Astyanax mexicanus: one gene and its partner. The protein of the gene in region 1 interacts with the protein of each later gene in a pairwise test. Links are inferred from orthologs where the notes say so. Each region holds a gene or a part of one and is shown on either strand. Other genes may lie near its edges.

Region 1 (7,228 bases):
TGTGATTCAATTAGAAGCAAACTGCATTTTTATCAAGTCAGTCAAACTAATATAGTCATGGTCTGGACACTACAGAAAGATCACTTTAATTAACTGTCATCATAGCAGCAAGCTTCTTTAGTCAGCGAGAGGATGACATATTAAGACACAGTAACAGCACTGCAAGACATTCTTCTGCAGCTGAAGTAGACTGTTTTTCTCAATTGCTATGACAGAGAACATTTGTACAAGTTATTTGGTGGATCTTTCACAGCCTTCAAGGGGTGAAAAGCAGCACCATAAAACCATACAATTAAACCATTTATTTATATCATCCAAAAATTGATTATTGTGAGAGGCCTACAAACAAACAGCACATTATTATTTCTTCAGTATATTTGGTGTACATTAGAGTGTTATTTTCTGAGAATATTTTCATTATTCAAAAAAAAAATGCTTAAAATGTGAGGCATCCTAAAAACCTTAACTACAACCATCACATTGTGCTACACATTTGTTCTCCTTGAGAAAAAAACGAAATAAGTAAATCCAGATAACATTTTTCCAAAGGTCTTTTATTCCACATTCCTAGTGAGTGGTGGTGTTTTGAGCCCTGTGTTAATCTGAGTCCCTGAATAAATCAGTTTTATGTCTTTAGTTGATACTTTTAATAATCTGTTTTTAATGACTAATAAAATGTAAAAAAAAAAAATAATAAATAAAAATAATAATAATAATAATAATAATTAAAAAATAATAATAATAATATAAATATTAATAATAATAATCTGTTAATCCTTAATCTGAATTGCTTTATAAATGTGTTACTCACAAGATCAAACAACAAGTACTGCATACCTCAGAGATTGTGCTACGATGTTCTCGCATATCGTCAAACAATGAGTCACTCTGTCCTTTTTGGTCGTGGCTAGATCTTTTTTCCTACAAAGAAGTAACATGTTTTAGCAATTAACAAATAAACAACTGAAAAAACATGGTCAAAATGAGAATTTTTATTTTTATTATATTTCTGACTGTTCCTTAATCTAAAAACAAATAAGAAATAAACTGCACTACAAATGTACAACAAAAGAGTTCAGCTCATTTCTGAGGAATCATTCTGAGGATCATTTGTTCTTTATACTCTTCCAGCAATACAGCCAAGACAGGCTCTTCAGAGGCATGCATAACAAGTTTCTGTGTAAACTACTTTAAAGTTAAAAAGGGTAATTATTTTTATTACTCTAGTCTTTTAAACAGTAAGAACTCTCTGACTACAGATTTAAGGTAGGTAGATGATTGAAAAACTTGGGTGCATAATCCCTCTTGGTAGTAAGAATACAATATATACAAAATATAAAAATACAGGACAAAGGCACATTATACATATATATATATATATATATATATATATATATATATATATATATATACAAATATATATATATATACATATACATATATATATATATATATATATATATATATATATATATATATACACACACACATATACACACAATTCGCAAGAATGTTCAGATTGTACATTTTCCTGACCTAGCACACATGATTTCAGCTCCATTTTACAGATAGAGGTTTTAAAAACCATGCACCATTTTCTTTTCAGTTCACACTTAATTGCTACTTGTGTTTGTCTATCACATAACATCCCAATATAATATAATTACGTTTGTTTGTGTAACGTATAACTACGTTATTTCTTTGTGTAAGTGTTCAGTGTATTACCATATACATAAGAATATACAGACTAATCATTGCACCTTTCCCAGCTTAACAGGAGAAAGATAAAACCTTCTTAACTTTAAATTGAAGTCAAGGTAAAAATAATTTATATTAGGTTATCTTGGGGAATTTCTATTGGTGCATTGAGCAATAAAACTTTGACAAAGTGTGAAAATGTTTATTTGTTCAAATTAACTAAAAATTAAACTGTCAAAAACGGAGATGCTTGATTTTTATTTTTAGCAACGATATACAGCTATGTAGCTATATAAACAAGAATATACAGATGAATACCTGCATCACTTCCAGCTCTAGCACACCTGATATCTGCTTCAGTATATATCTAATAATATATCTAATAGGCAATAATTAAGCTGATGTAAAGGAAAAACATAACACAGCTAACCTAATGCTTTTACTGGGCACAAGACAAGCTAAGACAAGCTAAGAAGCACTGATTTATTAGCCAGTGCATCACTAGCCATTAAGGTGTTTATCAGCTAGCTATTGCAGATAAATGAGTCAGGGTCATTAGATTGTATGCACTGAAAATGCTTTCCTAAAGACAGATAGCCAAATAGCTAACCTACTATTTAATAAAATTAACTAACGTTTCCTAACACTGTATTATTTGGTATAAGCAAATCTTGACCGTTAGCTAGTTAGTAAGGTAGCTAAGCAGGTCAGCTGACGTCTTTGGCTACCAGCTTGACAGCTAGCAACATAGCTTAGCTAAGCTAACTGGCTAAATATGTCAACACATAACGCTAGCTAAGCTAATTAGCTAACCTAGCTAAATGACTGGTTTAGACTGGTGGAGACACGGCTAGCCAGCTAACGCTGTAGCTACGTTATCGTCCCCTCCCCTCAGACTTACTGTTTCTGGACGAGCTCCTCGGCTGACAGCGGGCCCTGCTGCTGCTGGAACGACTTCAGCGATTCGAAGGCCTTCATCAGCTTCTCCATGGTGGCCATGACAGCGGGCCGCGCGGCCGGCGAGCTCCGGGGGAACAGCCGCCAGCCAGCGGGCTAGGTACTAACTAGCTTAGCTTAGCTTAGCCAGCTAATATTTACACCTGTGGGGTTAGCCAGCCTGCTAACCAGCGCGCAGGGCGAGCAACGCTCCGAGAAACAGCCCACGGGAATTCAGCAGCCCGACAGTACCGGGGAAAACCCGCAGCGACCGTGAGCCTCGGCCGTTAAACCCGTTACCGGACTCCGCGCGCGCCGGGACGTCAGCGGGACGCAGAAAGCGCGAGCGGAGCGCAGCTCACAGCGGGTCTGATCCGCACAGCCATCTTTACACCGCAGCAACCCGCGAGCACAATACACACAGCGAACAGAGAAACCTGTCAAAATAAGAGTCCTCCCACCCCCTCAGCAGAAACCCATTCATTCCTGAAAGTCCGTGCTCATTCATGTTTTGGTATACCTTCTATACAACATGGATGGATAGATGGATGGATGGTAGGGGTGGGCGATATGGCTCTAAAATAATATCACAATATTTGCGATAACGATATACTTGGCGATATAGGAAAACAGAAAAATGGATGGATGGATGGATGGATGGATGGTCATTTGAGCACGGAAAAAGATCACTGTATCAGTAGCATTCGGTTCTGTCAGAATAAATAAATAAATATATGAAATATAAAATATACAGTAAATACATAAATAGAATTGAATTGAACAGATAGATAGACAGACACATAAAATACATACATAAATTGATTAGATTTTAATAGAAGTGAATGGATAGGTAGAACGCATAATAAGAACAATAGAGAACAGAAAATATGGTGTGTTGAGCAAAGTATGATTCAATATCAATCCACTGTGAACTGTCTCTATAGCAAATAAAATCTGCATTTTTGGATTTTAGTTCATTAGACAAACCATGTAGAGTACCAATCAAACGTCTAAATGTATTTAAATTAAACTATTTCTTTTTATGATGTTCTACATTGTCAAAATTATTCAAGACATCAAATAAATAAACTTAAGAAACATAGATACGTCTTCATTCACTAACTGTAACAATGTCTCCCTCTGCTGGCCCTAATTGGTTACTACAGACTAGTGCTGCTCCCACAGGAGCCTAAACTGTGTTTGTATGGCTGGTTTAACCTTTTTTTTTACCCTTTTCTCTTCTTTTATAGGTCTGGATTATGGATGTGTCTGTTCTCTGCTCTGGCCTTCCTGTGTGTTGACAGCTGCCTGTTTTCATGACTATGAGTTTTAGACAAGACCTGAAAAACTCATGCAGTACATGCAGTCTGTTAAACTCTGCATTTACTACCCACCCAAACACAGCTTTTCCCTCGGGCTTTCAGGGGCCTTAACAGTTTAACACTAACTAACAGATGTCGCTCCACAGGCCATCAATGCCTTTACACATTGTGATGATTTAAGCAATTGTATATACAGTGTTACCCCTGGACTCCATTCTTATACACAAAGGGCCAGTGTTAATTATTTATTCTAAACTTTAGTTGTGTGGCTTATTGTATTTTATGTGCAGTGCCACTTCCCCTGCTGCTCCTCTCCTAGTTTACTAATTTTCAATCAATCTATCAATAAATCACTAATATTTTTTTCTCAGAGGTACAATGAGAGTGACCCTCATTTTCATTGCAGCCAAACATTTAAAGATATTAAAGACAGGGACTGAAAGAGAAAATAAAAACACAATCTACTCACAACTAATATAAAATTATTAAATTAGCATTTATTTATAAAATAAAAAATAAATTAATATAAATAGGACTAATTAAATCAAAAATCCTGCCTACGAAGACTACAACTTAATATAAAATATATACAAATTAGAACATGTTCAGTTTACATAAGCTAAAGTAAAAAAAAAAGTGCATTTTCCACTTAAAGAAATGAGAATAATTTATTTTAAAGGGTGTGTAATCTATCTTTCACACACCCAGTGCTTCTCATAAGAGCACTGGTAATCATTCCAGGTTCTTAACGGATTTATCCCAGTCGTTTGTATGGAAGCACAGTTTTGGTTTCCATTAAAGTTGTTGGGCTGATCTTCCATCCAGTACCTGAAACAGCACAGGAGTAGGGTTCATGTTTAATTACTGATTTCACCCAAAATCACATAAAACACAACATCTCTTAGTGATTCTCAGTCCTACTCAAATCTGGCATCCAGAGGGCAGCAGTGTAACCCTCTACAACATCATTGCCAGCCCATCACTGCTCCATTGCTACCTGTTACTTTTATTTTACCCAAAGAAACATGTAGCTGTATTGGGGGGGAAAAAAAAAACAACAATGTATGCATATTGATTATGTACATTTTGAAGCAGTGTTTACCTTACAAAACTTTTTTTTCATTTAAATACATAAAAGCAAAAAAAAAGAGTATTCCAAATGATTTGAGTATTCCATGATGTGGGCCTTTATAAGAGCTGTTTTTATGATTTAAATCTTGTTGAACTGAGTGAAACAACAAAAACGTTTCTGGATTCATTTCACTCAGTGCATGTTTAACCATCCAAAAAGTAGAAAAGTATTCCTAGAAACCTATATATAATTAAACTGTTGGATTATTAAACACGGTTTACGTATAATAGTTCACTTCTCCTTTGAAACACAAATGCAATCATATCATGTTTGTTATAATAAGGATTAACATGACCCTAAGTGTGTGCATTTGATAGGATGTTGCGATTACATTAAATTAGTAATTTTCCATTTACATGCACAGTAATTAAAAAAATATATATTCTGAAATTAATTTTAGATGTTTAAATGCAATATTATTAAACTATAAATCTGGCCAATTTGATCTGCAACATAACAGGAGGTTTTAGACATGACTAAAATATTGAAAATGCTTTTTTTCTGTTTGGCCAGCGCAAATTATGTTGAAACCCTTAAAATCTCAGTGTCACTGGGTAGAGCTTTGTTGTTAATGGTAAATTATAAATACACTCCTCTCCAAAAGTATTGGAAAATTTAGGTCAATCCCATTTCAGCCTTTATTTCCAGGTATTTGTATCTGAAAATCTAGGTCAGGAACCATTACATTAACAGCCAATAGGAGTAAAAGTTCAATAATATTTATTTTTCTTCATTTAAGTAATAAAAGTAATAAAAAGTCTCTCACCCCAGAGTTTGTGTCGTGTTGTCTACCCATTTCCAAACTCCCTCTGTTTCTTCATCAGTTAGACCAATCCACATATCCTCTCTGGAAAATCCTGATACAAAAATCTGTTTACATGTAGTAAAATACATTACTAGCATGTGCCCCTTATTATCTATCTATCTATCTATCTATCTATCTATCTATCTATCTATCTATCTATCTATCTATCTATCTATCTATCTATCTATCTATCTATCTACACCCAGTATTTTCTACACTAAAATCATACAGTAAATAACTCTTTAACAATGTTCTTCTGTAAAACTGTAGAACGCAATGCATCTTGGGATGTCCTATGAAAACAGCTGTCATCTGTATATATAACTGTAACATTTGTGGGAAAAACAGGTGTTTATATTTAAAACATTTTACGGACATTTACTGCTTTGTTGTGAGACCAGAAACAGCCTACAAACATCCCTAATTTGCATATTGGGCGTGTCTTCCCACGCCTAACTTACCATTAGTGTGGATTCTTGCCTGCCAGGGCTATTTCCTGTTGGGTACTGAGTTATATTTTATATAATGGTTGCTTTCCTGGACACAGGGGTGTAGGTCTTAAGAGCAAGTAACATTTACTTTACTGCCAAGCATGATTTCACATGCTTTACAGTATTATGTCAATAATCATTTTGCAGCACTTTACTGGAACTAAAGACCCCAAACATTGAAAGTACAATCTTTCTCTCTCTGTCTCTCACCTGTTCCTCCTTTGTGTTTATGATCACCAGGTCAGCACCTATCGTCCTGCAGTGCTGTCTGCTCTTAGCCCAGGTCTTTTTCTCAGTAGAGGTGTAGTAAATGCTGGAGTTAAAATACCTCCAACCTTGAGGAAGAGCAGTGGTTAAATTATTATTATGCATTTAGTTTATTTATAGATATATTTAGTGTAACAACTGTCCGAACAAACAGTCATCAGAAGAAAAAGCTTGAATTATTACCTTTAAATAAAGAAACATAATAAACTAAGCTTACCTAAATGATTGAACTTCTGTGCTATCCTCTGGTTCTCGCTCTGTAAAAGACGCTGGGCCGTGGTCAGACTGGTGTAACTGGTCTGTAACAGGTCTTTCTCTATAGTAAGGTTATTGATAGTGTTTTGTAAATGTTCTTTATCAAACATGTGCTTCAGACACAGTGTGGTGATGGTAGCAGCTTGGAGAACACACAGTAGCCCCAAACATCCTGCAGAGATTCTCATGCACTTGTTCAGAGTTGACTCAGCTTCTAAAGAAATATCCGCCCACACACACACACACACACACACACACACACACACATTTTCATTCATAACACCCTTATTATGCAGAACTCAGATATGTAGACAAATTTTGT
Region 2 (7,967 bases), on another chromosome or scaffold:
CAGTTCCTTTGGGAGGCCAGAAGCACGAAAAAAAAGAATTTCATATAGTCCCCCTTTAAAATGACAAATTTATTGTTTATCGCAATAAATATAGGACAATATATCGTCCTGAAAATTACGTTTTCGTGACCGGCCTACTCACATATAAGAAATATATGAATAAAATTGTTAAAAGCCAATCTACCTTTCCAAAGTTACCCCATGTGATGGTAACTCTGTTGGTGGCTGTGGAGAGATGAAGCCAGGGTGTGATGTTTATAGGGCGACAGGGCCGACGAGGTTCCACACCAGGTTTATTTGAAGGATAATAACCCTGGAAATGACAGGTGACGAAGGTAAATATTTAATAGAAATTCTGAAAAAACATCATCCCAGAGAAATGTTTTTTTGCAAACATTGCATAGATAAACTATTTTGAATAAAATCTGTAAAAAAAAAAAAAAAGACTTCTCTTAATTTCCGTTATGAATCACAAATCAAATCAAATCAAATTAAATCTGCGAGTTAGAAGTAAAGTGCATTAGGTCTGAATTTACAAGTTCAAGAAACCGACATGAATGCACTTACTGGGACATGACAGTAGGACTGATTCACTTTGACAGCAATATTCGGAGGGTACTGGTCCTCCTGAACACCAATGGAGTCTGTGTAACAGATTCTGAAAAAGACGAAAAAGGATGAATATTCAAAAAATTAGAACTGAAAACAACACATCTACACAGTCCAATAATCCAATAGCACACAAATAAAGAAACAAAACAAAAAGACACATTAAAACAGACTCACCTAAGAACCACCTGAACTGATTTCACCCCTGCACGAAGTTCACTGAGAACACAAAAACAGTTTTGCATTTCTTTTAAAAACACAAGATATAGATGTGGAAACACAGATAATACTAAAAACAAACTACCTATAATAAAAAGGTACTTATGTCTATTTGCCCTTTTTCAGCTATTACTCACCCGGAATTTCGGATCTGGTCCACCTGGCCCTGTGTTAGTTCAAAAACACACTGACTATCCTGAAGTTTCTCACTGTTCTGGGCAACTGCAAAGCATAGCAAGATTTAATAGAGTCTAACATCAGCCTTTCAACCTCTAATGGTCAATGAACACATCCAACAACAAAAAACCAGTGACAATTCGTGAAAACCAAACCAAAACAAAACCATGACTTACTTAGCTCTGTAGGTGGCAACAACGTTTCTAAGTTATGGTAGAAGGGCAAGGGCACTAATTTAACTTCGGCTGCTGGCGGTGCGGCCAGCTTGGGCATGCCATTGAGGTAGTCTGTGCCCTGGGCTGTGCCTCGAGGAGAGTTGTTTAGGGTAGGGTAGGAGACTGCCGGGACCCCCTCAGGGCGACGGGCAGCCAACCATCCAGTCGACTTGGGAAAGCGTGTCTCATAGAGCTGGCGGACGTTCTTCAGCAGCTCTGGGCTGTATTCCGTCTGCACCAGTCTCAAAGCTCTCCCCACCAAGTCCTGCTTTAGACCGCTTTTACTGCGCCCCATCGAGGCCAGCAGTGTCTGCAGGTCAGACACCCGGAAACTCTTCACCATGTTCTGACCAGAGGAGTAGCAGGCGTGGAGAGAGAAAAGAAAAATAAGAGTAAACACAGTTAGAGTGTCTATAAATAATCTGATGATTTTTTTTATTAGTCGATTAGTTAACAATTATTTCCATTATGCCTTTGATCACTTAAAAAAGAAAACAGCTGTACATCGGATATAAATGTCATTTAAATAACAGTATGGTGTAAACATGTGGAAAGCACTGACATTTAGTGAGTAAATATTTAATCTATTGACAAACCTCAAATAATGCAAAGAAAACAAGTTTATATTTACAATGTTTTCAGAAATCAATATTTCCTCCTGGGGCAAAAATTCAAGCAGTTCAGCATAGTTTGATGGCTTGTGATCATCCATCTTCCTCTTAATTATATTCCTGTTTTTTTTTAATTTGGCAAAATCAACGAAGCTTTATTCCAGAGCTTTCTATATAACTCGTGTCTTATAGCTTGCTTATAACAGTATTAGTAGATTATTAACGGTTTATGATAGCTATCAAAGCTATTAGCTACCTAGCTAATAGCATAACACCATGCCAGCCTACATACATCATCTCATACTAACCTAGCTAAGCTAGCGAGTAGCTAACTAGGGTTTACCCGCCAGTTTGTAGCTACGCAAGCCCTTCATAATGCTTCATCTGTTTACACTAAATGACCATGATCACCGTGTTCATAGTTCACAGTTAACCTACTAAACCAATAATACATAAAACACTACTAATGAACTGTCTTAGTCAACTCAGCAGTCTACTTGTGAAGCTCTTTGGTAGCTGTTAGCCCATCATAAACACACGCTGCTGCTGCTGTAGTACATACAGTGTGTGCTAGCTAACGCTAGCTAGGTTAGCTAAACGGCTACTGGAGGCTATTGCGAGTGCGGAGGGGGCACCGGATGAGCTGAGCAGCAGATCACTCATTTCCCAGCTTTAATACTAGTTGTCAGACTACCAGCCTGACCCGCCAATGCCCTGTTAAGCAGGAGCTGCGGATGTTTAGTTAAGCCCGGACCTCAGCTCGAGGTTTTGTATGAGCAAAGTGCTACTGTTCTCAGTCAGTTGAGCTGTTTTGAAGTCCCATCATTCATTTAACGTTAGCCGCTAGCTAACCAGCTTAGCTCCTGCTCAACTGCCAACGCAGTTCACTGGCTAAGAGCGGGAATAAAACCGCCGTGACACGCTGTTCAGCGCTCACACCGCTGCCGAAACCAACATCAACCGGCTCCTCTTTGCTCCCGGAAAGCACTTTTATTTCCCGCAAAGAAAAACAAAAGCGCGCATCCACTCACCATCGCTTCTACCAGTTCGGCCGCCATCTTCACAAAGCAGCGAGAGTCCTCAGGCGAACGGCAGCTGCAGACCAATGAAAAGAGCCGACCGCCTTCGGAGACGGCCCGCCGCGTCCAATCAGCGCCCTGAACGTCACTAAGTGGGCGGTGTTGTCTGGAGCGAGGCGTGGCTTCGTGCGTTTAAAGTCACAGCGCTCTTTTAAAAAAAGAGCACTTGCAGGCAGGTCTATCCGTCCTCATAGGCCGCTGGTTGTTGTAAACCCGTCCAAACACTGTGTGAATTTCATCCTCCGGCGTGCCTGCTTTAATAGTCTGGAGAGAGGGCGAAAGCCCGGTGTATTTTCAGTCCAGGCTCAGAGCGGGCGGAGGACGCTCAGCGTGAAGTGGACGGGAGCGCGTGGCTCCGCCGGCTCCGACCCGCGTGGGAAAATCCATGTCGGGATTTTGGCGACCCAACATTCAGGAATAAACGCTTTTGTTTAATTTCTACCTGCTTGTTTCACACCAACGCGTTTAAAAGGCCACGAATGCTTTCGGCAATATAAAACGCTGTTATCATAAACTGAGATGAGATTGAACTTATGGTTTAATCAGCAGGAGCGAGGAAATAAGACTGGACTAGGAGATGGAATGGAAAAATCAATTGTGCACATTCCCCACCCAACTCCATGCCGTGTTTTACTGGTTGAGTGTGAGCGGTGGGGGATGGGAGCAAAGGGAATGTTGAACAGTGAGCGGGGTAAAAGAATCAGGGCTATGAATTGTCACCACTAGTCTGATAAGAAAAGCAAACCCTCTTAAAGCTGGATTGAACATATTAAGGGAATTCAAATCCAAATCAATCAAAAAGACATTTTCACCAGATTCTTACCCTTACAATTATAGTTAATTATTCAGGGCTGGGGTAAAATTTCTGTAAGCATTCTTTTTTCTTGCTGAAATGATAAGTGATAATACATTGCAATATACTCACAATTGTAGTCAGTGTGATAGAGCTGTGGTGTTTATTTCTGTTGGTTTGATGTCAGGCTCTCTTAGGAACAGTTCACTGTGTAGAAGAAGGACATGACTGAACCAGTTGAGGCCTGGTGCAGACATGCGGGGGAGCAGTTGCTCTGTGTTTTATTTATACACTTTTAAATACACTTTTTAGTTGTGGTTCTTCTGTTCTCCTGCATACTGGGGTTAAAGTACAACAATATCAATATAATTAAAATGCTGAATGGCAGCTATCATTAAATATATTTATTTTTACTGTTTTTATTTAATTGGCGAGACATTCACAGACCACATTCTTTTTATATACAGTTGTTAGGCCTGTTACAATAATTATGTTACCAAGTTATTGTACTATATGTGGACATGACCGAAATCATTTTTGATCACCTAAATCTTTCTTATTACGTTTTTCTTAACAAGGAGAGCCCATTGAGATGTATTTGACATTATGCTGACTTTGTTAATAAACTCCCAGAAGCTGTGAGATGTGTCCAGACTGTAACCTGAAAACATATCTGTTTACCTGGGCTTCCCCAACAGTTTAACTTAATCTCCGTTGCATACTTTTAGTACTTTATTTCTTTTATTTTTGTTCTTAGTTTTCATAACTTTTTATTATTTTAATTATGTCATGTAACTTTCTTTTAACATTGTTCCATAAGAAAGCTTTGCTATCTTCTTATATGCCTTTTGGGCATTAATACCTTTATTTTAAGATCTTAAGACTTTAGGATTGCTTACATGAGTTTACATGGTTGCCAGGTCACACTCATTATTACTGATTCGGTGATGATACTCATGTTTCATGACACTTAAATAATTAGTACTTATTTAGTGCTTGCTTTGTTTTGTACATTTTGCATTAAACAAAAACTGAAATCATTTTTAGCACCAGATTTATTGCCAGGTAATCCTAGCTGGTGATACATTGCTGATGCTGTATCAGGTGTCTTCTTGTCTACAGTTCTGCCATAATAAGCAAAATTCTGCTCTGTAGGATAGTACTTTACTTATTTAGAGGTGTTTGCTGGACCAAAGCTGTTAGGATTAAATATTCACTAAAGAATTCATGGTTAAAAGTACTGTTTAACGTTTAGCAAACTATAACTCGGTCATCAATATTCAAGAAATAACAAGAGACTGAAAACTGCCCCTTCCTGTTTTAGGACATGTTGTTGATTAGAGACTACAAAAAAGACATTCAATCTGAAAAGGAATGTTTTTATTAAGTTAGCTGTCTCAATAATACATTTCTCAATGCATTTATTTTACAGTCATATGTTAGTCATCACTATACATGAGATGGAGCCCAGAGATGAAATGGAAAATTCAAGAGATAAAAATAAAGTAAAACAACTAAATTCACAATATTTCAAAACCCAGGTTCAAATGGCCACTCTGTAAACATGGTGCTCCAAATAGGAACACACTGAAACAAGAGAGCTGGAACAAACATTGGCATAAGGAATGTATACTTCAACAGCAGGGCCTGAAATCATAAGTAATGGTTATTTAGGAGGAAGAAGAAGAGTGCTGACTGCACTGAGCAAATAATAATAGCAATAATAATAATTCTGCATAAATGGACGTGGCCATATCCACTCACGGAACTGCAGAACTTCAGGCAACTGGAAAGATAATTCTTTGCACATGCTAGGACTATTAAGGCGCATGTCAGTTTTAAAGATCAGGCACAAAGCAGCAGATAGAAAAGGCATGGCACTGAGAACAAAAAAATATAATAAAATCTTATCTGCAAATAAAAAGCATGCAATTCTTATGCACATTTCTGATGTATAAAAGGTCTAGCTACTGCCAGTCATATCAGTATTTGATAAATATAGTTAAACACCTTTAACTCGTGTCAGTTTTTTTTCTTGAAAATATGTAGCATTTTCAGCAAAAGGTCAAAGAAGGTCTGCTGCACAGTTAATGGGTGCACTTACTGTAGTGTAAGGAATCACTTGGTGAAAAAAAAAACCGTAGTGTTATAATTCAGCAATTCTGCAATTAAAAGTGTTTTCACAGTCCCAATGAAATTTTTTAAAGCTGCCACGGCTTGATTGTGAGCAGTACCTTATTTGCATGATTGTTTTATCAAGTAACATTACTTACATTCTTTCACATATGCACAAGTCATTGTGTAACCGGTTTGGCAACGTAATTTGTAAACAAAAGTACAATGGATTCCTATACGGGATGTTTAGTCCCCTTTCTCTAGACTTGCACAGTTTCACTGTTATGTCATTCATGTGGAGGCATGAAGTTAAGATATCTGCTATACGCAGGGGGACAAATAGAGCACTCTGGCTCCACCTGGAGTCTGGAATGGTTCATCACCATGGTCCACTTTCTGGATAACTGGGCACAGCAGCAGGGTACTGAGGAAGACTTGGGCCAGTCTCAGCGATGGCATTGAAGCCAGCTTCTCTCACAGGGGCACTCTTCCAAGCACCGGTGGTCCATTCCTCTTGGGCACGCTGGAAGCTGCCTCCTCCTCCACGATAAAGCCGGTGAACCTGAAAAGAGAAATCAAAATATGCAACATTTATCACTCTTTTTGATACTTACATTATGCAATGATTCAATTAGGTTTGGGTAAAAATGGCAAAAACATGTAACAGGGTTGGGACAGTAAGTCAAACTGAAGCAGATACAATCAGAATCTCTGAAAAGCTAGTTTTAGAGCCAGAGCCAATTAGAATCCCATATACTACCACACTTTATGTTCAACAGTGTGTGAAACCAACTTAATGTCCACCAGAGTACTTAAAAAAAAAACATTCCTCTAAAAGGTTTTTCATTACAAAGAATACTATACTCTATAAGAGAGTGTATTAGATGGGAGATTTGTTATACAAGAACACACAATTGTTAATGTGGACCTCAGATTGTTTTGTGTAGACACAGGACTGTTTGATGCGACTTTATACAATAAGGGTCAATTTCTGAGACGGAATTACCGTAAGCCTAATTTTGGACTACATAGGCTTTTGGAAAATAGAAAAATAAATTCTGATACTAGAGTTAATCCTTGCATATATTATAAAAGTTACAATAAGTTATCAGATTACATTACATGATTATAGCATTAATTTCTTCATTTATTTAATATGACAGGCAACAGGGAGCTGAGTCTATACCAGTTTGCTGATTTCCCTGCGCTAACATTCTTAGTCTTCAAAAGACAAGTTCAACGTTCTTCTGCATGCTAGTGTTTATACATACAGTGTAAATGCATTACAACATCTGTCTTTGCGAGAAAATTAGGTGGAATAAACAGGGTCCTGTGGTCCTAAAGACCACACTAAAGAAGCATTTTTTTTTACCTAGTTTATGTCTGATGCGTTTTCTTAAAACTAGTAAAAGAATTTGAAAACTGCTGACTCAAAACTGCCAATGTTAACAGTTCTCAGAAAATGGAAAAAAAAGTCCATACACATCTATAATTAACTAACGGCCATAAGTTATATGAAGATCTGGAATATTCCTTTAAGGTGTGTCTTATATAGGCAGTTTAGTATGCTTTGCACTAGACTTACCCTGATAAGAACCAGCCCCATGAACACTGTGTTTACAGTGAACAGCACAGCCGAGAAAAGCATAACCACAGCCGATCCCACGTTAGTGCCGAAAAACATCACTGTTGCTATCCAACCACTAGAGCAAGGCATGAAGGGGTGAGCGAGTGAGAGAGAAAGACAGAGGTAAACTGGGTTAGTCATTACCAGGTCTTGTATCTTTCACCTATTTATCTGCACACCGAATCATGTGATGATGATCAGAATTCAGTCTTCTCTGATGGAACAGCTGAGCTCATTCAGTGATCTGACCATTTAAAATACTGTTTAAAATTGTTGTGAGAACTCAGGTTAAAAACTATTTCTTATAGTTTCCTATAGTTAACTCAAGTGAATATTTTACCATCTTTTCAGTGTCAGTTTATGTGGTGGTTGGATTCTGCTGTTAGCAACAATGCATTACAATATCAAAGCTAGTGGAACTTAAAATGTGATCATTTGAAGTAGAGGCTATTTTTATACACAAAAACAAATCCAGGCATCTTTAAAAGCGCCTCTAAACCTAACAATGTGTAAGGTGCAGCT

The links.
Region 2: the proteins of htt (region 1) and pias4a interact in binary tests that used the Homo sapiens proteins (3 or more experiments, as listed by UniProt). The link is inferred for Astyanax mexicanus from reciprocal best matches to the Homo sapiens genes HTT and PIAS4.

The regions. Positions count from the first base shown.
Region 1 is NC_064414.1:46,261,256-46,268,483, reverse strand, and holds the start of htt (huntingtin), read right to left. Parts: upstream 3,048-7,228; 5' UTR 2,698-3,047; coding exon 2,600-2,697; intron 922-2,599; coding exon 838-921; intron 1-837. Other genes in the region: C-type lectin domain family 4 member E, read right to left, coding at 4,646-4,784, 5,855-5,958, 6,595-6,719, 6,869-7,120.
Region 2 is NC_064423.1:23,645,903-23,653,869, reverse strand, and holds the start of pias4a (E3 SUMO-protein ligase PIAS4-A), read right to left. Parts: upstream 3,013-7,967; 5' UTR 2,890-3,012; coding exon 2,863-2,889; intron 1,567-2,862; coding exon 1,182-1,566; intron 1,051-1,181; coding exon 966-1,050; intron 829-965; coding exon 787-828; intron 659-786; coding exon 568-658; intron 314-567; coding exon 185-313; intron 1-184. Other genes in the region: scamp4 (secretory carrier-associated membrane protein 4), read right to left, coding at 6,198-6,380, 7,404-7,521.